Linked DNA regions of Lytechinus pictus. The main gene of each other region encodes a partner of the protein of the gene in region 3 in a complex. Links are inferred from orthologs where the notes say so. Each region holds a gene or a part of one and is shown on either strand. Other genes may lie near its edges.

Evidence for each region.
Region 1: splicing factor 3B subunit 3-like (region 3) and microfibrillar-associated protein 1-like share a complex: the UniProt entries of both Drosophila melanogaster proteins name them as parts of the spliceosome B complex. The link is inferred for Lytechinus pictus from reciprocal best matches to the Drosophila melanogaster genes Sf3b3 and Mfap1.
Region 2: splicing factor 3B subunit 3-like (region 3) and splicing factor 3B subunit 6-like share a complex: the UniProt entries of both Drosophila melanogaster proteins name them as parts of the splicing factor SF3B complex. The link is inferred for Lytechinus pictus from reciprocal best matches to the Drosophila melanogaster genes Sf3b3 and Sf3b6.

Annotation. Positions count from the first base shown.
Region 1 is NC_087250.1:22,582,540-22,590,836, reverse strand, and holds the start of microfibrillar-associated protein 1-like, read right to left. Parts: upstream 3,098-8,297; coding exon 3,087-3,097; intron 16-3,086; coding exon 1-15. UniProt on the Drosophila melanogaster protein: Required for pre-mRNA splicing.
Region 2 is NC_087245.1:7,929,723-7,937,524, forward strand, and holds the start of splicing factor 3B subunit 6-like, read right to left. Parts: upstream 3,114-7,802; 5' UTR 2,874-3,113; coding exon 2,844-2,873; intron 1-2,843. UniProt on the Drosophila melanogaster protein: Involved in pre-mRNA splicing as a component of the splicing factor SF3B complex. SF3B complex is required for 'A' complex assembly formed by the stable binding of U2 snRNP to the branchpoint sequence (BPS) in pre-mRNA.
Region 3 is NC_087246.1:63,654,952-63,663,465, forward strand, and holds the start of splicing factor 3B subunit 3-like, read right to left. Parts: upstream 3,210-8,514; 5' UTR 3,097-3,209; intron 1,382-3,096; exon of another isoform or gene 1,379-1,381; 5' UTR 1,340-1,378; coding exon 1,114-1,339; intron 1-1,113. UniProt on the Drosophila melanogaster protein: Involved in pre-mRNA splicing as a component of the splicing factor SF3B complex, a constituent of the spliceosome. SF3B complex is required for 'A' complex assembly formed by the stable binding of U2 snRNP to the branchpoint sequence (BPS) in pre-mRNA.

The DNA.
Region 1 (8,297 bases), on a different chromosome or scaffold from region 3:
CTGTGACGTGCAATCCTACACAGATTGAACAATATAGTTAGTTTACCGGTCATAATAGAAAAACATTTTCAGACCACTAGAGCTTTCATAAGTTCAAATTAAAGCTAAATGAACGTAGTTGCAGTAAAACACTGATTTCGTGAGAAAGTCTGTAAAACCAAGGTAATGTATTGACAGGGTTGTTGATTTTTTTGATTTTTTTAAAAAAATCAAAAAAATTTGATTTTTTTTTATTTAAATCGGATTTTTATGATTTAAATCAGATTTTTTTGATTTTTTTCCAACGAAAAATAATGGTCACACTTAACAAGTTTTAAACTATATTTAAACTGTTTTACACCAATAATAGTGGTCAAGTAGTCTTTTGAACATTGTGTATTGTACTATTTGACACAATAATCCACTTATATACAGGTAATTTTTTTTTTTTTTTTTAATTTATTTGCATTATAGAGAGGGAAATTTTATGGAAGCCCAAGTAATGTTATGTATTATGTATACATTTAAACTCTTGAAATTTTTATATCAGTCAGTTCAAAACATCCGAAGTGTTACTCCAATGCATGAAGTACTCAAAGAACTTTAGAATTTCCAACAAAATTGACATTATTAAAGGCCTGTTAGGGTTCCTATACTGCCCTTGGGAATTCTAGCTGGGAATATTTCCTAGAATTATCACATGGGGGATTTTAGCTAGGAATATTTCCTAAAACTATCACATGGGGGACTTCCCAACTATCAGCTGGTAATAGCTAATAAACAAGGGTTTTGCAGCTTTTGTGATGCATGAATAAGCATGTCTGGAAGAAAATCAGACCCCATTTGGTACTTTTTTGAGAAACTGCCATCAAAATCTGCAACTGGATGCAGAGCAAAGTGCAAACTATGTGGTTTTGAGTTGATGGGGATTGTGAAGCGGATGAAAACACACCATGAAAAGTGCAATGTACACATATGCCTTCAACTTAAGTAATTTAAAGAATGGGTATTAATAGTAACAAGAAGGAGGTACATACAAGTAGTTCAGCTGTTTTGTAATAGTATCCAAGTTGTGGACTTTGAGCACCTTTGTAGATTTTATATATTATTTTATTGAAGATTTAACAGTTTGGTGTACATACAGAGAGTTATTTATCATTACTTCGTTAGAAACTTGTTGTTTTCATCAGTTTTGCTTGTTTTACAATTTGAAAATAAAACAGTGGTGTTAAATCAGACTCCATGAGGGTGTATCATTCTTTTAAAGTATCTCTAAAGCATGTGGAACAGAAATGAAAATGATTACATTGAAAGTATCTGTTAAGAAGAAGAGAAAATAGAGAAAACTAATTTTTTTCATAAAAGTTGATTTAAATCAGTGATTTTTTTGAAAAAAATCAAGTGATTTAAATCGCGATTTAAATCATGATTTAAATCGACATGATTTAAATCAAACAACCCTGTGTATTGATATATCATCGTGGATCTAAATCTGGTACAGTTACATAAACTGAACTTTGTGAAATCATAATATCTAGCTAAAAAACGATCACACTGAAGATCGCCAACACAGATAGGCACACGTGAGACAGTGTATTATTATTGCAGGAATAAAGACCCAACGGAAGTGACCGAATCCGCGCTTATTTCTCAGCAATTACACAATTTCTTCCAGAATCCTTTGGCACATATTTAATATTCATACAAACAGACACTTTGGTGATCATTATATTAAATTCTGTAGAAAGTCATTTTGAGATCGTTCCCACAACTGGAATTTATCTTTAATCTTCCTATGCTCGTTAAATTGGCAACAATCATGAATTTCCTATTCATTATACTTCGAACATGAAATATGGAAATATGACACGAGTCTAAATCAATTATGAAGGGATACATGTATTGAAGAGTTGCCAATTTGCATTTTTAAATTGTGATTTTATCATGTTGCCAATTTTGAGTGGGTAATGATTAATTCAAAATACTTGGCTTTAATCAGGAACAGCATCACATACAGTTTCTGGAATGGTATCAATTTTTAAAGTACTCTTTCATCTTTCCAACCATATGCAATTTGTACTTGCTAGCAAGCTGGTTGAGAAAATGCAAAAGTATCTCCTAAATTAGACAAGGGTTAATCATCTTCCAATTAATCTTTTTGGCCCGAATTCACAAAGGTGGACTAAAGTTATACCCGGGGTATAAAACGCGTCATTTGACGTCATTTTAATCCATGGACTAAAGTTAGCACCTAGGGGCTAACTTTTGCGATTCACAAAGGTCGACTAAAGTTATACCGGGGTATAAAACGCGTCATTTGACGTCACGACTTAGTCAGCTCTTTGGGGTGGACTAAATCGGTGGGTTAAAGTTAGTCCACTGTTTTAACCAATCAGAGAGCAGCATTTCGATTGCGGAAAAGTTTGCTGCATGCAAGAAAAAAGTTTTTTGGACAGAGACGAGATTTGGTGTGATCGGCTTATCTAAAGCTTCATATTTCACGACTTCCACCGAGATTGTAAGTAAATTACATAATTTTTGGAGCTTAAATCATGACGGAGCCTTCAGTTCCATCTGTAACTATTATTGATAGCTTTAACTTTCCAAAAAGTATACTCGAAAACTTGAAATGGTATCTGAATCGGTCTGAATCATTGTTATCGTCGCGTCTCTAAGCTGCTCAGTCCCAGCCATGTACTTTTGTGTGCGTTCATATCTATGAGCAGTGCAGTGCAGTGCGAGACGCAATTAGCGTACACTACACAGGCAAGGTAGGCGTGATTGAAAGGCCGATACTACTACTAGTTATGCCAGGCAGTGATTTTGAGTGATTCTCGATTTCGTGTGATTTTCATGAAATTTTTGTTGTCTACGATACCCCTGCCACTTCTCCTGGCTCTGCCAACACAATCTACTGTGCATCTAATTTTGCCTAAAGCAAGGCCAAGGCAAGGCCAGGACTCCTGGCAGGATAGCAGCAATACAAATTACAATTACAAATAATTTTTTTTTAAACACTAACGTTACAAATACAGAGCCGGTATAGACATTCTACTCTGGGCTGGCTTTGCCTTGGCTTGGATAGATGGTCAAGCTATGAAGCTTACCTGGTAGCCATGTTAGAGTTAGTCCTACAACATCGTTGGAGTAAAAAAAAATATTATAATAAGGGTCACCTCTCTAGTAAGACTAAGGCTCGTTCGTAGGATGAGTGGACTAAGCCCTGATTAAATTATTTTTGGAAATTAAAAAAAAAAAAGATTGGGTTCCACTCACCGCTGTTTACTCCAACAGCTATAAATGAGCTGATTTTACTTTTACTAAAACTAAGTTTTACTGACCTTCGGCATCGCATTTGCGATCACTTATACTAGATTTACGGTGTCGTCAAAACATTACAAAATAATGGAAATCCTAGGCCTTATTAATAATTTGAGTAGATCTAACTGAGGTCTAACTTTGAAAATTCTCTCTTTTGGGGGTTATTTTCTCTACCCCACCCTCTTTGTTTCAAGTATTTTTTTTTTCACAAGGTGTCCTTTCAATGTTAAATTCACATGAGACCACAGACAAGTGCATTTGATCTTAAGTCCTCTACATTTGTAGTAGACCGATAAATAGGTTTATTTCTGTCAGAGATATGCTCCCCTGAGACTTCATGTGGCTCCGCAGCATCCCCTCCCACAAAAAAAAAATCAGAAAATGTTACAAGACTCCTCTGAAACAGCGGATTTTATCAATCTACATTTGTAGCTGCTTTATTATTTTTTTTTATACTTTGACATTGCAGTATGATTGATGAATGAATATTTTTTTCATTATTTTTTTTTCTTCCATATCAGCAACAGACCATACATACTCGGCAGATTGTGATCAATCAAGACAAGGCAAACATGGCTCACAATTTTGAACTGCTGTGCCGTCTTGCAAGAGAGTGAGGTATGCCTTATCAATTCATATTTAAAAAAAATTAAATGTCATTAAAATGGCCTTCTTAAATAAAATATTATTTCCGGGATTTGAATTCATCATGTAATTGTAAATGTATCATGTGACATGTATGTTACTTTTTCATTCTTGTCATAGTAATTGACAAAAAAGAAGAGGGGGGGGGACCTTGCTTGTGTGTTATTAACATATATATTTGTCTACTGGTCACTAGCTTTTTTTTTAAGGCTTGTTGATCTCCAATTAATCCTGACATTTTGTTGAATATTTATTTAAAAGAGAGAAAGAAAACATTGTCAGTCTGATGAATGCCGGGGGGGGGGGGGGTAGAAAAAAAGGTTTAATGAGACTTTGATGAAGATTCATGAAAATATGTTATTCGAAAATCACTCGCAAGCAATAACCTCTATTTGTGTAAACAAAGTTCCATAAAATTAGTGCCTTGCCTTCTTTATTAAAGCCAATTGAAAGTGATTCAGTTAATCAGTTTTCATAGAAGCATCTCTAAGACGTGCGTGGTTTGATCAATGATGATGATCAGCAACAATTGGCAGGTTTTTCTTCTTCACTTTTACAAGTAGGTAAATAGAAAAGCTACTCATGTCAATTAGAATTTTTATCCTATCTTTTTTTAAGGATTTCTGTATAATCTTTCACATTCTGTTCCTCATTTTAAACACTTTTGAATTAAATGAAATTCAAAGAGTAAATTGCCCATTCATGGTGACTCTTCAACACAATCTTCCAACTTCCATGCAGATTCAGCAACACATAGAAAGACCACAGCATGGATTAAGAGACAGGAAGAATCCATTTGAATACTACGAGGATGAACCTCTCAGAGTGGGGTACCAACAGAGAGAACCACACATTGCCTGTCATGTTACAGGTTTTGACAGGACTTTCTTTTATGTCATTGGTGAGTTTTCATGTGCAAACTATAAAGCAGAGGGTAATGGGGGGGGGGGGTCAAATTATGTTCTATGAAAGTGATTTTCCAGGCCAAAAATGATGAGATTTTGATAAAGAACAATTCGACTAGCAAAAACCATCAATATTGGATGGAGAATTATGAATTGATTCAGTTTTAAAGTTTTACATAACTTGGGGGAAACAGTTCTGTGTATCTCATATGCAATATTCATATCCCCACTTGTTCTCTAGTGATCTGAAATTATAATCATTAATTTTTTCCTCCAGGAATGTAAAAATGGGGTTGACTGCTGATTATATATTTAAGATAGTTATTGCGAGTTCAGAATAATGTAAGGATCAAGGATTGGAAGTATCTAGTCATGAAAATTAAGTTTCATGTTTTGCTTAGCATGCAGATTTTCCATTGAGTAATTGTCGCCAGAGCAAATATCATGGAACCCTTGTACATTCATGTGTGGAAAATGTGTGGATGTGACATCATCAGGCTATTTCTTGCATATTCATGAAAACATGCACATGTTTTACAGAAATAATTAATGCAAAACCTAATATTCATTATTAATCATCCAAATTGTACGATTTTTGTTTCTGCTTTCAGCCAGGAGTACTAGTAACCCCTTACATGGGAGGGGGAGTGTTGGGGGTATTTCACAGAAAGGTTTTTGTCGGAATGAAACACGTAACCCTTTGGGTTGGAAATAGGTGGGGATTTTATTTTTCTCTCATTTTTTACAATGTAGCAACATTTTTTAATACAAATATGTCATATTCAAGTGGGAAATTATCATGAAGGATGATTTATAACCACTCAAAAAGAAATATTGGTATGTCATTTCAGCTAGAGAGATATTCTCCATTTTGCATGGATTGTTATTGCAGTAGAGTTTTTTTTTTAATGAATCAAAGAAAAATCTCTTTAAGCAGTTCCAGTGCATCATAAACATCAGGTCATAACAGAAGCACAATGTTTGCAAACGTAAATGGTAAAGTATCAATTGGCTTTCATATCAATAAACCAATTACATAACATCACTTATCATTCGATAACTAAAGGTACCTTTTAGAAGATGCAAGCAGACAAAGCAACTATATCACAGTCATCCGTGTGCAGAATCATCAAAGATTTTTCTGAGGCAATAGCAAGGAGTAACAGTGAATAAAGTTTCCAATGACGAGAAATTCAAACCACCCAGCGACAATTTGATGATTGCTTCAGGTTTCCAAGAGTCATAGGTGCTATCGATTGGGGCCAATCCAGGCCATGTCTACATCAGGAGTCCTGATGGGGAACAAGCCCTGTACTTAGCAGGAAGAACAGGTCTTCTGTAAATGTATAGGTTGGTATACTCACTCAGTTTTCAATGTGATATTCTCTGTATTCAACACCTACTAGAGGTATGTGATAATGAAGAAAAAATATATTGGCCCCCTACTACATGTCTTTTACTGTCTTTTATCAAGTTTCAATGTTGTTGGTCAAATTTTTTTCTAATTTTATACTCTTAATATGTGAAATAAGACAATTTCAAAGATTTCACTGAAGAAAAAAAATATAGATAATCTGCTAACTTTCCTATTGCAGGAGAAATGAAAAATAGAAAAAAATGCATTTTGCTTATTCAGGTAAAGGATTTATTAATTGCTTGATCAACGAAGATATATTTCCAGAAAGAATACCGAAGAGCAAATTTTCTAATATTCATTTTGTTTTGATCCTTATTGCAGGTATCCGTTGCTCCTCTCTTTGATGAATTCCTGCCTGCATTCTGTTGTCAATAGAAAAGGACGGTGTGCTTCGGGTATTAAGCATTCCATTGGATTATCTGTGCATGAAAGTGGACACTTGTGATAAAAATATGGTAGCTTGGTTGATAGGATGTATTCATGCATTCCGATTTATCATTCGTGATCAAATGACCATCTTGCTTCTTAAATCCCAAAATCACAACATTTTTCTTGTTTGACAAAAGGTTTGGGACGTGAATTCCAGGATATAAATGACACACATGATGGGCTAATGTATAAGCAGGGACACGAGAGGTATAAGCAACATTTTTTTCGTTTAATTAAGTTTGGCATGAGATGGACTTGGTCTTTCTTATGATTCAGGTATATTTTATACCAATTTCGTTTTAATCAACAATCAATGTTTGAAGCCTCATGATTTCAATTTCAAAACCTCTTTGTTAACTAAACAGTCATTTTTCTTAGCATATGCAGCTTCTTAATTTATCAAATTTAAATTATAAAATATCATTTTTGCTGAACATCCTTTTTTTCAACCTATTTTTATAGGGCCTAAGATACATTTCTGTAGTAAGCACTATAAATACATTGCAAGCTATTATCATTTGTTTGATATTACTATTTTATAGAATCATCCTTTAATTTCTTTCAGAAATATATTTGACAAATTACTTGTGATATTCATGCTTTAGCTGTAGAGTTTAAAATCTTCATGAAATTTTTTTTAATCCATTGTTTATCTATTTTCATTCAGAGTTTCTGATGCATTGTTAAGAAAACGTAAACAGTCTATTCAATCTTCGTATCATTATGTAAAGAATTTCAATCTACCTTAAAAAGTAATGCACTAAATAAACTGCTCTGTCTACTACACATGTACATATAAGTTTTGATTTTAAAGGTCAAGTCCTCCCCAGAAAAAATTTGATTTGAATTAATAGAAAAAAATCAACAGAGCATAATGCTGAAAATTTCATCAAAATCGGTTGTAAAATAGGAATGTTATGACATTTTTAGATTTGGCTTATTTTTCACAACACAGTTATATGCACAGATCAGTGACATGCAAATAAGACAGTCAATGACGTCCTTCACTATTTCTTTTGTTTTTGTTGCTTGAATTGTACAACATTTCATTTTTTACAGATTTGACATTGAGGGCCAACTTGATTAAACCAAAATTATAGTATTAAAATAATGCAAATCCCACATGTTCGGGGAGGGGGGGGGGGAGGGGACTAATCTTGGTTTCACTTGACAATGAAGAGAAAATTTGAATAATTCATCTAGTAGAATAAAAAGAAATAGTTTGCATGCCTACTGGGATGTACATATAAGTGTGTGGTCAAGCAAAACTTTAAAAATGTCATAACTTAATATCTTTACATCAGATTTTGATGAAATTTTCAGTGTTACGCTTGTTGGGTTTTTCTCTTTTTATTCAAATCAACTTTGTGGGGGTGGACTTGTCCTTTTATATCGTTTTCAAGTAATTGTGTCGGGAGAAAACAAAAATGAAATTCTTTTATCAATTCTGTCCATATGCTGCATGGTTCATCGTTCTTGCAGGAGGCAAAAAATAAATTTATATAAGAAAGACTTATTTTATTTACTCTCAGATAAAAATTGTGCTCAGGAGAGATTAAGGTTATGTGTAAGGCAGGGTGGTGGTAATGGTATGTTGGTTA
Region 2 (7,802 bases), on a different chromosome or scaffold from region 3:
ATATCTGTCGATGACACTCAAGGCGCACAATTAACTACTTATATAAAACAGAAATCAATAAATACATAAAAATGAACAAACTGAGAAGAAAAAATACACAATCAGTTAAGTTGGTAGTCAAAAAATAAAAAATGGCCTTATCACACAACAGTTAAGGAAATGCTTCCCTCATGAGGTAAGTCTTCAATTTGCTGTGGAATAGCTCTCTTGACTGGCACGACTTAATGTCCGATGGGATTGAATTCCACAAACGGGGACCAGCAACGGAAAAAGATCTGTCACCCCAGGACCTTTTCACTCTAACTTGTTGGAGCTGGTGAACATTCCCTGAACGAAGACCGGGTCTACACGATCTCTTCAACTCCAGAAGATCTGATAGGTACACTGGTGTCTGGTTGGTTTTCAGTTTATAGAGATATGATGGCAATTCAACAAATACCCCCAACGTGGCCAAAGTTCTTTGACCTTACATGACCTTTGACCTTGATCATGTGACCTGAAACTCGCACAGGATGTTCAGTGATACTTGATTACTATTATGTCCAAGTTTTATGAACTAGACCAACAAACTTTAAAATTTATGGCTGTAATTCAACAAATACCCCAATTTGGCCAAAGTTCATTGACCCTGAATGACCTTTGACCTTGATCATGTGACCTGAAACTTGCACAGGATGTTCAGTAATACTTGATTACTATTATGTCCAAGTTTCATGAATCAGATCCATAAACTTTCAAAGTTATGATGGTAATTCAACAGATACCCCCAATTCGGCCAAAGTTCATTGACCCTAAATGACCTTTGACCTTGGTCATGTGACGTGAAACTCATGCAGGATGTTCAGTGATACTTGATTAACCTTATGTATAAGTTTCATGAACTAGGTCCATATATTTTCTAAGTTATGATGACATTTCAAAAACTTAACCTTAGGTTAAGATTTTGATGTTGATTCCCCCAACATGGTCTAAGTTCATTGACCCTAAATGACCTTTGACCTTGGTCATGTGACATGAAACTCAGGCAGGATGTTCAGTAATACTTGATTAACATTATGGCCAAGTTTCATGAACTAGGTCCATATACTTTCTAAGTTATGCTGTCATTTCAAAAACTTAACCTCAGGTTAAGATTTGGTGTTGACGCCGCCGCCGCCGTCGCCGCCGCCGTCGCCGCCGCCGCCGCCGTCGCCGTCGCCGCCGCCGTCGGAAAAGCGGCGCCTATAGTCTCACTCTGCTATGCAGGTGAGACAAAAATGATTATTTCACAAATACTAAAATTTATTACGTGATTATAAATAATTATTAGTATTATATTTTAACATTTGCGAAATAATTTTTTTTATCTATAGATTATTCATCAGAACGGCATCGCTACCCGGAAGTACGTCATACATAAGCTGTTCAAGGGTCGACGCTAAAAAAAAAGGAAGGTGTAAAAATTAATGAAATTCATAGAATTCAAGTGATTTTTGTTTCAAAAGATGGATTTCCGAGGGAAATCCATCTTTGTTTTGGTCCTTCTCTTCTGCGACCGGAAGTGTCAAGACGTCAATGATGAAGAAGTATATTTCATTATTTTTAAAGTCATCATCATTGCGTCCTCAAGACTAGGCCTAGGGAGTATAATGGTGGGTCCCAAGTCTGCGAACCTAACAATTTGAGTTAAGATTTAACATGAATTTCTTCTTATTTCACAAAATCTTTCAGTTAATAAAGTTCCTTATATTATCATAAGTGCACCAAATTTCTCATTAAAAAATGAAAGAAAATATAAGAAAATATAGGATTTTCTTAAAAACCTCGGCTCGGGCAGTCATTTTCAGATTGAAAAAAATGGTACCCCATGTCTGCGCACTCATTCACTTTGCACACGATTTGGGGATTTTGATGAGAAAGGCTGTATTTTGAGGCCGTCACATGAAATGCCCTAAATTCATTATTTTTCCACCATTTTGAGTCGGATATTTTCATGAATACCTGTCTATGTATTGCATGTGTAAAGTTCGTGCTCGTTCCGTATCTTCTTTAACTAGAATCGCGCAGAAACGCGTGTGCGCAGTCAAGGGAGACTGCGCCGACTTGCCATACCTATTTATTGCGAACTGGGCATGACCCATGTTGTTGTTGGCAAATATCAGCAGTGCAGAAGCTGCACCACAAAGCATGATGATAGGATTAAAAAAGGGGGCAGAGACCGCAGTGCGCGTGCGTATGTGCAGAGCTAGCTAACTTGCCCCCTTTTCGATCCCATGATACATTATGATTGCGGTTCTTATCGCTTTGAGGTAGGCCTAACTTGTCACACGGAGACGTGAAATCCGGTACTGACGTTGCGTGCAAGAAATATCGCATTATTCAGACATGACTAACTACGGAGTAGGATGGGGGGTTGGGTGTCCGGACAGTTTATATTTTTGAGGCCTTCTTTTTTGTCTTTGGATTGCACTAAAAATATGAATTCGATAGTCGTAATCATCTTCTATTTTGTTCTCTATTATATTTCCTAACATTTTGTAATAAAAATTGATGGAACTTCACTGAAAATTTTTCCAAATGACTTTCTAAAATTGATCGTCCGGACACACAACCTGTCCGGACACACAACAACTGGGTATACGGCCTACGGTAGTGTACCGTACCGGTAGGCGGTACATAAGTACCTTACTTAGCCTCACACAATTCTAACTAGCGTGTCTGAAACCGTCATTCGATTCTCCTCAGTAATTACGTTCACTTTCTCAAACGTAACTCATTCTCTAATATTCCAGAATTAGACCCTATCTATTGACCATCTTAATTCAAACAAATTACTTAAAACTGATATTAAAATTATTCCTCACATTTTGACGGCGGGCTGCTTGCATCGCCATGTTGACGTTGATGATAGCAAAGATACAGTACGGAAGCTAGATCGAGCATGCAGCTGCAGCGCACGCACGCAATATTAATATGAAAGGTAGGGACTTTTGACGACAAAGTACGCTTAACGTAGTCTGCTATGCAGACTCTGAATGGCTCGTGAAGTGGGATCTGCAGCTGGTTTGCGAAGCAAACCAGCTTGAAAGGGCGAGCGAAGCGAGCCATTTCAGAGTCTGCTTCTTCTTTGGAAATCTTGTTCCCACGGTCAAAATAAGTCCCACCCACCCAAAATTTCAGAGAGCTTTCATTGGATAACTTCATCTGTCTGTAAACCAAATTTTATGACCACTGAGGAGTATAGATAATCCCCTACTTCAACCACAGAGCCATGAGCAGGGTTATTATGTAATACCCTCGCTCAGGCCATCAGACAGTGTTTACATATGACATTCCACTGAGCAGCTGCATGTATGGCCAAAACCTTGCTCCATGGCCCAAAATAGTGGATGGTTTTATCATAGCTCTATATATATATTCAATTCAATTCAATCTTTATTTCGCAAATAGGATAAAAATACAAGGAAACATCAAATAATGTGATTAGATAATAAAAATAAATTGCGTGGCTTCCCATGAAGGTAATAAGAAACATGTGAGGCTCGCCAAAACATAGTAAAAACAAAACAACATTAATACAAAACAGAATATCATATCATTATAGTTAATAGTGAATATAAAAAGGAGAAAAAAACACGAGTTGAGGGGGGTAGATACGTTACAAGTATGCATTGATATCATGTGTGAGAATTAATAATAATTTACTAGAAAATTTGAATACTGTTTTCTAAAAGAATATATAAATTGTGAATTAGTTATTATTTGGGGAATCTCATTCCATTGTTTGGGACCTACATAACTCAGCTTCGTGACTATAGACCTAATAGACCATAAATGAAATTTATTGGAAGAACGGGTATTATGGTTATGAACTTGATTATTGCATTGAAAAATATCTGAAAACTACATGGGTAACAACTACCTCTTCTTGAACTTATAGATAAATATTGTGAGTTCTCGCTTATTAAATAAAGGTGCGGATGGTGCTATTAGAATAGGTAATTATTCTTAAACATTTCTTTTGAATATTGAGTCCAATTCATATGAGGTTACATTGGTATTGCAATATTTTAAATAAGAGAAAATCATGGAATGGTATAAAGTTATCAGATTTTTATGAAGCAAACTAAGCTTAAGTTTGTAAATTAAACCAGTATTCCTTAAAACATTTATCATATGGTACTTAAAACCCAAAATATCAAACTCAAAAACACCATTCTCATAAAATTCAGAACTGAAATATTAAATATGATAGTTTACAAAATGAAAATCTTAAATTTCACGATTGTAAGTTTGTAAACTATCATACTTTTAATCAAACAGGATAGCTATGTTTTATTTTGTTCCTGTTTGGAATTAACTTCTAACCATAGTTTCTTGATTGGACCTTGTATTTGTAGTCACTTCTCCATGCTACTGTATTCAACCTGTTTTACTGTTATGTTAGCTCAGTTTGATATTAATTAGCCCTAATTAGCCTTGTGTAAGTTGTCATGCCCAGCAACATTCGTTCACCTTTGTATTAAAAGTGTTTTTATGCCAGCCATAATGTATGTGATAATCAGGTACTTTCAAACTCAAAAGTATGCTGAATGAAAATGTTGGCAATTTTTTTATATAAACCTAAATCGGATCTATTTGATTTAAATCAGATTTTTTTAAATTTCAATCTGATTTTTTCTAACAATTTTTTTTTGACAAAGTGCAAACACCCAAAATATAACCCTTCACACTGACATCAATTTTAAAATTATGCATTTCACCACCAAAATTATTCTTAACTATTTCATAATCAAATCCAGTCAAAATATAATTTATAGAAAATATTAAAGCCATAAAGAAGCTGACATTTTCTGCTGTGTCTAAAGTACATGTAGAGAGCTTCTACTTATTGGTTCAAAGGAACTGTCTTGGTACAACTAATGCTGCAAACATGCAAAGTTGGTGCTCATTTTCAAAGCTCTTGGTATTTAATGAGGATCAGTTTATTTGGAAGAATTCCATGACTCAGAGATTCAAGTTCTCCAAAGAGATATATTTTTTAAATTTTATTTTCAGGTCAAGGATTGAAGATCATACACGTTAAAGAAAACTGCATTTATCTTTTGTTTGTTTCAACCCCAAGTTGTTCTTTGAGCCACAGTTGGAACGACTGTTTCAAAGCATTGGCTTTCAAAGCTTTGACCGACTGCATTTATTTTTGTTTGTATCAACCTTAAAGGAATGGACCGGGCTGAAAATATTCAGATCTAAATAAATAGAGTAAAATTATGAAAATTTCACCAAAATTGGATGACAAATAACAAAGTTATTGTATTTTAAAGTTTATCAATATTTTGTGAAAAGAGTTATATTTACATCGTCATGAATGTTCATTTGGTGGGTTGATGATGTCACATCCCCTCTTTCCTTTTTCTTATAACATGAAATCATAATTGTTTCATTTTTTTTATACATGTGTAAATAATGTGTCTCCATTATGATGAAATAAGTTGCGGCAATAAATAACTAATGTACTTAATTAGTTGCCAATTCAATTGTTTTTAGTTCTTGGTAAATTCCTTTTTAATAAACCTAATTTCACATAATCATAATCAAAAGAACAAGTGGAGATATGCCATCATAAGCCCAACTAACGGATATTCATGAAGACATGCCTAGAAATGTTTTACCGGAATAATCGAAAAGAAATCTTTAAAATTCAATAACTTTGTTATTTGTTATCCGATTTTGATCAAATTTCAGTATTTTACTCTGTGAATTTTACTTTATTTATTGATACATGTATCATAATTTCTCCAGCCTGGACAATTCCTTTAAGTTCTTCTTTGAGCCATAGTTGGAACTATTTGACTGTTTCAAAGCATTGGCTTGCAAAGTTTTGACAAACTTGCAAGTTGATTTAAATGATTTCGTTTACAATAAACTGGAAAACTAGTATTTTAGCAGCAGTTTTGCTAAAATAAGAAAACGGGTTCCCTTATATACTGTGTCGGCCTATTTATTTGAATACAGGAACATGTAAAGGAATAGAAATGTTAAAATATCGGTGTATTGGGTAAGCAGGGACGTTGCCGATTTTTACTTTTATTGTACTCAATTCAAAATATTCACTTAAAAATGTACAAACATAAATCATTTTGGCAAAGGGCACTAAAATGTATAGTTGTTATGATTTAGTCATGTTAGTGCCCTTTGCCAAGAACATTCATACATATTTTAAAATAAATGTACATATGTACTTAATTACTGAACCTTTTTCAGTGAACTGGCTGAATGAAGCACAATCCTACTCAGAATGTCTGAACAGGCTTTTTCTAGTATAGGATCCATGGTTATAACCCATCCTGGCAAAAATCTATCATGTTGAGATTCAGCCTAATAAGTTCAGAGTTCCTTTACTTTCTTGAAAACTGCCCTCTAAAACACTTTTGAATTTTGACATAAAGAAACAAGAAATTTGTTTTACTATTAACAAAGTCTACTCATACATACAAGTTGAGTAGGGGTCGCATATAATGTAGGCTACATGTTCATCTTTGGTTTTGCAAGATTGACTTGATATCATTGATTTGATTTCAATTGTTCTGAGTAGATATGAAGGATTTATTCCTGTTCTCATGATATAAAGTTGGTAAAATCTTTCTCTTTTTAATTCAAAAAGTAAAACTGCCACAAACAATAAAAAATCCCAAATAATTTGTACATGTTTCAATGGAAGTGATTTAAAGGAAAAGTCATGCACCCCAACAAAAAGCTGCTTTGAATAGTAAGAGAAAATCAGACAAGCATAACGCTGAAAATTTCATCAAAATCCGATCTAAAAGAAGAAAGTAATGACGTTTAAAATGTTTGCTTAATTTCACAAAACCGTGGTTATATGCAAATCCTTGTCGGTATGCAAATTAGGGCGATGACATCACTCATTTTTTTTTTGTATTTTATTATGTGAAATATGAAATATTTTTATGAAAAAAAATCATTCCTCCCTGACCATGTGGGATTACATTGTTTTAACATTTTGTAGTTCAAACAAGAGGGTCCTATTTGTTAAATTCGTAAAAATTGAAATGTTGTATAATTCAAACAGTAAAAATGCAAAAGCAATAGTGAGTGAGTGACATCATCGACTCTCTAATTTTCATATCACTGAATTGTCATTATAACTGGGGGCCGTTTCATAAAGCTGTTCACAAGTTAAGAGCGACTTAAAGAACGACTGGTGAACACTTCTTACGCGATAAACCATCGCCAATGTATATACAATTTACCACAAGAAAGGATCTCAAATCGTTCTTAAAGTCGCTCTTAACTTACGAACAGCTTTATAAAACACCCATCTGTTTTGTGAAAAATAAGCGAAACTTTAAAATGTTATCATAAACTATTTTACATCCGATTTTGATGTAGTTTCCAGCGTTATTCTTGTTTGATTTTTCTCTATGTTTATTCAATTAAACTCTTTTTTTCTGGGGTGGATATGACCTTTAAATCAATGATTTGAAAAAAATGATCACAGTGATTTAAATCGCGATTTAAATCGCGATTAAAATCAACGTGATTTAAATCAGCCAATCCTGCTGAATTAACTGAATATGAAAACAATTAGCTTTGTCAACACATGCAATGTCGATGCCAAAGATGTGAAAGTTGCATATTGGTATGCCCGGGAGCTATATGCCTTGATGCTTTACTCATTAGTGCAAACTGCTTACATGTACTATGCCCCATTGCTTTGAAGGATAATTATTTTGTTTCAAAATATTAATTTGTTGGATTTGAATTGTGGAAAGTAGGTAATTTTTTTTTTTTGTCTGTTAAAT
Region 3 (8,514 bases):
AAAGAAGAAACATACAAATGGAACAATGTTAAAATGAGACAAAGTTAAAACATGCATCAATCAGCAGTATGGATACCAACTTACTGAATTTTGAGATAATCAGCATTCTATTGAATTCTATTGACATTTAAATGAAAGTTTACAACACTGAATAGTTATCATTTTCTGACAGTTTGCATAGCAACAGTCGGACACTTACAGGTTTAAATGAAAGTTGTCAGCACTGACTAAAGTTTCAGCTCTGACTAAAGAAGTGAAATCCTTGGTACTGAAAATCAGTAGCTTTTGACTGTGACTACGATAACTGTCAAAGAATAACAAATTGTCTGGGCTGGCAGAATTCTTGAAATGACAACTAGTGCTTCTTATTCTTAATCAATTAAAACCAAAGAATGTTGTCAGAAGACAAATATCAACTAAACACCTCTAAAATCATCACACATACTTTGTTATTTTCTTTAAAACAGTTAAAACAGTTAAAAATATAATAAATGAACTAGAAGGATAACATTAAACGCTTGCATTGGTGACACCAGTGGGCCAAAACAGAAACCATTCATGACATCAAACTTTAAACAAATCTAGTATTGGGATTAATGTTACTCATTGTCAAGTCATCGATAACATAATTTGTATATAAGGTAACAAACGTTATCAATGGACCTTGGCTGAAAAGTTGGTACACTTACACACCACATTTGTTGCAAGAACCATAACTCACATAGAAAATTATCATGAGATTACATAGGAAGCACAGTTTGTAATATATTAACAGATTTAACTTGATTTTAAAATAATTCATAGAATATTCAATCACTAATAACTGAAATTTTTGTGACTGAATAACTACATGTAGGCTTAAATTAATCCAAGGTCTTGGCCTTTGATATTTTTCTACCCTTTACAATTTTCTCAATATATGCTGAAATATAAAATTGTACCCTTTCAAAAAGTGGCCTCGGTCTTAAAATATCATTTATGGCCTGGAATAGTTTCTGAAATTCAGATTGATGATATATTTACAAAAAAAGCCGCTTCACATGGCATATATTGGCAAACCAATGGTGTGACAGTCCTTGCGAAGATTGCTGATTGAACCAGTGCTATACTGACCTTTACTTCCTCCTGTTAGCCTGAAAGGCATTAATGTCCTGATGATCCCAAATATCTCATGACTCAGTACAGTGTAGAGCTTGCCAGTGTTGGGGTCTATCTTGATCAACTCCAGGAGTTTACCCCGTCCGACCACCAACTCTTGCTGCTTGGTGCCAGCAAAGTTTCCATGTATGCACTGGACGATGCCTGTGGCTCGCTGAAGAGTTAGTGCATAGAGAAACATGGTTCAGGCCTGTCCTCAGCCCACAAAGGAGATGTATATCTGCTGGGAATTAGACGGATTGATTAAAAGTCGCTCATTCTCTGAGCAAGTCTTTACAACTATATACAACTCTGTCTAACTGAAAGCAGGAAACAGATTCATGACAGCTACATAGCTGCCAACTTTGACCGAAAAAATGGGAATTACTAAAAATTTCCAAAAATGGGAACACTCTTTAAAAAACAGAAATAGGTCAAACATTGAATTTTTGCCTGTCCATAATTATCAGTTTCAGTTGCTCCAGGTTACCTGGCCCTTCCTGGTCGAGCTTTGATTCTCATAAAATTTATGAGCTGGATTCGGACCAACTGAATTCTGGGTGGAAAAAATTATATTCTTGTTGGTGTTGTTTCTTTTGTACTTTTGCAAAGCAAGTATTCAATATGGGAGATCGTCTCCCACATTGGCCATGCGCCTAGACCACACAGAAGTAGATCTACAATCATGGAGGGAGAAATAGCTCTAGGATTCTTCCATCCTGCCATATTGCATCACGAAAGCAAATTTTGGGTGTCTGAAAGCCACACTGAAAAGTGTTGGCATAAAACGGGCTGATTTTGTGGAAAGAATGGCACAATGTTGGGGGCAAATTTTAAAAATGTGATCTGAATTGATTTTCAACTCATTTAAGATGTACAGTACCCGTATGGAAAAAGAACTCAGGGGCTTCTTTTGATGCTAAAGACAAGTTTATAGGATCATTAGAAATGAGGATTGAGAGATAAATTGCAAATCCTTATTTTTGTGTGTGTCGAGATTGCCATTTCCCCATGTGTTTACTATCGGAAAATTTAATTTCTGCTTGGCACTATTTGTTTCACTTTGTCACAATTTTACAATGAGATCTGAATTTCAAATTAAAAAAAATCATTCCATCAGAGTGTCAAAATTACTACCTGACACTCTGGATGATATGGACTGAAGTTAAACAACCAAAAGATTCGCCTGCACTCTGCTGGCAGGATGTTCGCCACATGTTCGCATGATTAGGTTGCTAACTTCAGTCCATATCAACATTACGGCGCACGGCGAATCCAGGCGATCCGCGAAGTGATGTCTGAGACTGAGGAGTGAGGATTCGAACGACATCGAGATCAAAGCTGAAAATAGTGAAATACAGCCGTTCCCGATCGCAATATTTGGAAAAGAGGTGGGTATATTGACCTCGAAATGTGACTGTGAGACTTATCATGAGTGACATTTGGGAACAAGTATTGGTGATGACTCTGATGAGGTATGACGTATGCTGGTATTAATCGGCCGATGCGAAACTGCATTAGCGCCACAGTGGCTGCACGATAGCGAGCCGTCTGACTCCGAGCCGTGTACGAGGAGAAATAAAAAAAAAAAAAATGTTAAAAAACTCCTCGAAACAGACGGCTGCCAGCTGTCTACGATAAACCTTGTTGTTATGCGTTACAGCTCAACCTCAAGATCAGTCTAGTACAGGAAGGTATAGACCAGATAAGTATCATTGTCCATGCAGCGCACCTGCGCACCGTACCCGAACTCCACCGACGCTCGGCGGGGGAGCTCCCAACTAAAATTGAAAAGCCTACATGCACGCCTATCAATGCAAAACATAGACGTTAGCGTTACATTCGCCTTTCAAAACATCGTTTGAAACACTTTATCATCCACAATATTGAAACAAAAATTAATTTTTCATATTCATCGACATTCTATCTAATTATTTTCAGAAGATTGTTTATATCTACCTCTATAATTGACAAGATTAGTATGGATTGATCATACAAATCGTTCTTGGTTCGACTCTAACACCTGTAAGGAGCCATGTTGATTTCCCGCTAACGAACGTAGAGGGCCTTAATCACTGAACTGGAAATACGTATTTTCAGTTCAGTCTTTGACGAGCTCGCGAAATTCGGAGGGGCCGCCCCCCCCCCCATGCGTACGGCCATGATCTTAAAACAAATAAAAAAAATGACTTAGGCCTATCTACACTACCGTACCTACGGGGGGGCAGAGGGGGCAGACTGTACCCCCCCCTGACGAGTCACAACCCATGCAAGGGACATATCCCTGCCCCCCCCCCCCTGACGAGTCTTGAAGACTTTTTTTTTTTTTTTTTGCTTTTAACATTTTTTTCTGGTACGAAATCCTTTATTAGTGGTTGAAGACCTTTTTTTTTTTGCTTGTCAAATTTTTTGGCGGACGAGATCCTTTATTTGTGGTTGAAGACCTAGTTTTTGTTTTTTTGCTTGTCAAATTTTTTGGCGGACGAATTTGCCCCCCTGTGGAAAATCCTAGGTACGCCACTGCCTATCTACCCCACCACTCACATGACTCATGAAGCTTAAGGCACGTGGAATTATTTTTACAAGTTTTTTATTCATTATGCCAGGAATATGCAATATCCCTGATTATGCACTTGCAGAATTTAGGAAGCACAACGCCCGGCAGTACGGCGTTAAATAAATAAACCGGGAGCTCATCGAGCACGGGGAAAAAAAAATCGTTTTCAGGACAACTTATCTGATATGAAGAACAGGCATGCACCTATGAGAAAGGCAAAGGGGCACTCGTTAAGACATAAAACAGGTCCTTCACAGGTGAAAGGTGAACAGTTCTAGAACACGTTCGTGCCACTTTTCTTAGGTAAAAATTAATAGGGGCCTTGATACGAGAAAGGGCACCCCTGAGAAGGTAAAGGGGCACTTGCTAACGGCATAAAACGGATCCTTCTCAAGTGAAAGGGACACAGGACATGTTTGTTAAAGGGGCACGTTTCTTTGGTAAAAAGGGGTACTGATTCAAGAAAGGATATACAAGAAGGCAAGGGAGCAATTGCTCATGCAGATGACATAAAACATGTCCTTCTCAGGTGCTAGGGGCACAGAACACGTTCGTGAGGGGGCATTTTTTGAAGAAAAAAATGGGAACTTCTACGAGAAAGGGCACTTGGTAACACCTAAATGGGTTCTCTTCCGATAAAAGGGGCACAGTACACGTTCGTGAGGGGGCATTTTTCTTGCGTAAAAAGGGCACCTTTTCAGTGCTTCAAAAAGTGGGGGGTACTGTGCCGGCCCCCCATCCCTAATTCTCTCTTTCTGTCTCTCTCTCTCCTTTTCCTTCATTTATTTACCAGCAGAAAACTAAATACAAAGGCATACGTGCGCGTGGGTGTGCGTTTTGAGAGGGTGAGTTGATGTGTGCAGGGCGCATTGGCGGAAATCCCAGGGGGACAAGGGGACGTGCCCCTATACTTTTTGGAAAGGGGACACAATATGAACAAGAACCACAATTTGCGCTCAATGCAGTATCAGATTATTGTAAAAGATGGTATTTAAATGTGAATATAGACAAGACGATAAGTGTTATATTCTCAAAGTGAGAAAAACTGGTTCTTTTACATTTAAAGACCAGGCTCTTGAAGTAGTAGAAGACTATGTATATCTTGGAATTACCTTCAATTATAATAATTCATTTCGAAAAGCTCAAGCTAAACAACTGAATCAAGCAAGAAGAACAATATATAGCATGTTGAATAAGATTTATCATCTTGATTTACTAGTGGATATCCAAATTGAGTCATTTTGATCAACTTGTTTTACCGATACTCCTCTAAAATATGTGTTAGAAATATTGGGTTTTGATGTGATTAGAGATCTAGAAGTGTTCCACATGATCATATTTTGCAAGCAGATTCTTAAAGCTAATAAATCAACGGCAAACTGCATGGTGTTAGGCGAACTTGGAAGATTCAAATTAGAGAAATATATTGAGAATAGAATGGTAAACTTCTGGTATGGATTAGTTCACAATAGTAAAACGAAAATGTCTGGTATGATTTACGAGATTGTAAAGGTACTTTCTGATCAAGGTATATATAAGACAAGGTGGTTAACGAAGATAAAGCAAACTCTTGATAGATTGGGCATGACGAATTTACTTGACATTTCTGATTCCTCGAGCAGATATTGGGTAAAACAAGCTGCATGTAGATCTACGAATAAAGGATTCACAGTTGCAAAATTACGTACGTTAATTATAAACGAAAACTCTCAGTGTATGGTTAACTACAGAATATTCAAATCTTCGTCTAGAAAGTTACCTCATCAATATGAATAAAAAAAGAGAATCACTTTTTGTAGATTTCGTTGTGGAAATCATCGACTTCCTACTGCCTCAGGAAGATATGAAAACTTTCAAAGAAACATGAGGCTTTGTATATATTATGCAATTAACCTTCAATTGGTGATGCCGGAATTTCACTATCTATTCGTTTGTCCTTCTTTTGCTGAAGAAAGAAGAATATATTACACTGAAAGACCAAATACACTAAAAATGAAACAGCTATTTAATTATGAAAAAACAGAAATCCGCTCCAACCTTGTATAATTTTGCAAAAAAATTGTGCTTCGTTTCTAAATAAGTTATGCTCGAAATTCAATATTTTGAGCTGTTAATTGAATAGTGGTATAACAGCCAATGCTGATGCCATATTACTTGCCTTCTACAGAGTGAGTCAGAAAAAATGTCCCACTTTTGTAAAGCTGAATTGTTTAAAATATGAATATTTAATCATTAGTTTCATGATATGTCTTGATAGAGGTATCCTCCCAGTACATTCAGGTACCTTTTTCATTTGATCCCCTGCACGCATGACTGAACAGCGGACAATCTTTAGAAGACTGTCAGATCTCACTTGCGCCAAGTTACAGGGTGGGGAATAAAACACTCTTTTGAACAAAGACAGTCCGACAGACTGAAACACACACACACACACCCACACACACGTACATACACACACAAACACACACACATGCACACGCACTGGCAGACCCACTCAAACATGCACACACAAGCACACGCACACACACACAGACACACAAGCACACAATTACTGCAAACGTCGGTGAATAAAAACACAAACAATTAAAAGGGAATTTTTGTATTTGTTGAGGTAGTTTATTGTGGTTCAACAATGAAAAAGAGGCTCAAGTGACTGCTGCCAAATCAGGCAAGCCCTTTTATAGGCAAGTGCAACAAAAGCACAGACATCCATTGTAAATTTTCATTGTTAACCAACAAAAGACATAACCAGGATATTGGATTTATGTGCACTTGATGATGATGATGAAGATGAAGATCAAGATCAAGATCAAGATGATGACAATGAGGATGATGATGATGATATGATGGTGGTAGTGAATGTGTAAAGATTGTCGGGAATTGCCACTTAAACATTCAGCGATCTTGCTAAAAATCAATGCTTAATCAGAAAAGAGAAAATTATGAACCAGTTATTACCATGTGTGTTGTGTGTGTTTGTGTGTGTGTGTGAGCATGCCAGTCTGTCTGTCTGACTGTCTTTGTCTAAAGCACTGTTTTATTCATCACCCAGTAACTTGGCGCAAGTGAGATCTGACAGTCTTCTAAAGATTGTCCGATGTTCAGTCATGCGTGCACGGGATCAAATGAAAATGGTACCTGAATGTACTTGGAGGATACCTCTATCAAGACATATCATGAAACTAATGATAAAATATTCATCTTTTAAACAATTCAACTTTACAAAAGTGGGACATTTTTTCTGACTCACTCTGTATAAGACAAATGTTTATGTTAATAGACCAGTTCGTAGTTACTCATGGACAATTTTCGGTCAAATGACCTTTCATTTCTTTCATTATGATAGGCAGATTTCAAAGCAAAATATTACGTAAGCTTGCCTTACACATAGCAGGATGAGGAAATTTAATAGACCAGGTGACTAGAATAGCACACCAATGAACACTTTATGAACAGATGAAGGTATTTGTTGCATTCCTACTTTGAATGCATATCATAGCATGTTGGACAATGTACTTGGCAAACTGTGAAAACCAGTCGTTCGTGAGTGGACGCGTTGTTGTTTTTTGTGGATGTAAATGAATACCACTATTCAAAAGAATATATGAATAATCAAGACATCAAAGTGGGTGCTTATCTCATTAGATTTTAAACCACCATGTCACTTTAGTACAAATGACCTTCCTCTGATCATGCGTAGAATCTTTTGATCATGCGCAGAGAGGAACTACGAACTGGCTTATTATAATTTTAAAAAGATTTTGTACATTTGTATGACTTTTTCTCCGGCTCGGTGTAAAAATGGCCGAGGTAAAAATGGCAGAGGTAAAATGGCAAAGGTAAAAATGTCAGAGGTAAAAATGGCAAAGGTAATATTGGCAAAGGTAAAAATGGCAGAGGTAAAAATGGCAACGGTAACAATTGCAAAGGTAAAAATGGCAAAGGTAAAAATGGCAGAGGTAAAAATGGCAGAGGTAAAAATGGCAAAGGTAAAAAAGGCAGAGGTATAAATGGCAGCGGTAAAAATGCCAGAGGGAAAAATGGCTGAGGTTAAAATGACAGAGGTATAAATTGCCAGTCTTAAACCCCCATGTCAAAAATTCCAATAGCCCCTCCATGTAGAGTAGATTAAATAAGAAAGGTTCTGAGAAGAAAATAAGAATTATAATGTTGGACTAATGTAAAGGGTAACATTTTTAAATCATACTTTAAATCTTCTGCACCAAATTGATAACACTTGAGTCGGTATTTATTATTTTTCCTGGACTTACATGCACGGCCTTCTTATGTCAAATCGCTCTTCGAATATTCAATTAAATTTGAAGCACACTTTGGATCCCAAGTATTGTACTTAATTTATTAAATGGGAAATTCGCCCTGACATAAAGTTTATTGTAAAAATAGCAGAAAATAATAAAAATGATATTGGTGAGGGTTTTAGGGAATCCATCAAAGATTTAAAAAGCTATTAGAATTTTATATTTTAATGGTGACGTCATTTGCGAGCAGTTTTTCCCATATATGGTGTAATAAAAATATAACTTTCTTTAAATGAAAATGGTTTTATCCTACCTTAAGTATGTCAACATACAAATAATTTCACATCCGCTCCTGAAAGATTTTTTTTAGCAATCATGAACCACTGATTAAAAAATTGAAAAGTTTACATTTTGGTGCATAAAATACGGGGCAGCTGCTCGCATATGACATCACAGATCAAAAGCTCAAACTTGTAATAAATTTCTTAATCTTCGATGGGGTTTCCGCAAACCTTCACTTCATTTCTCTGCTTTTTTTTTTATTTACAGTAAACCATTTTC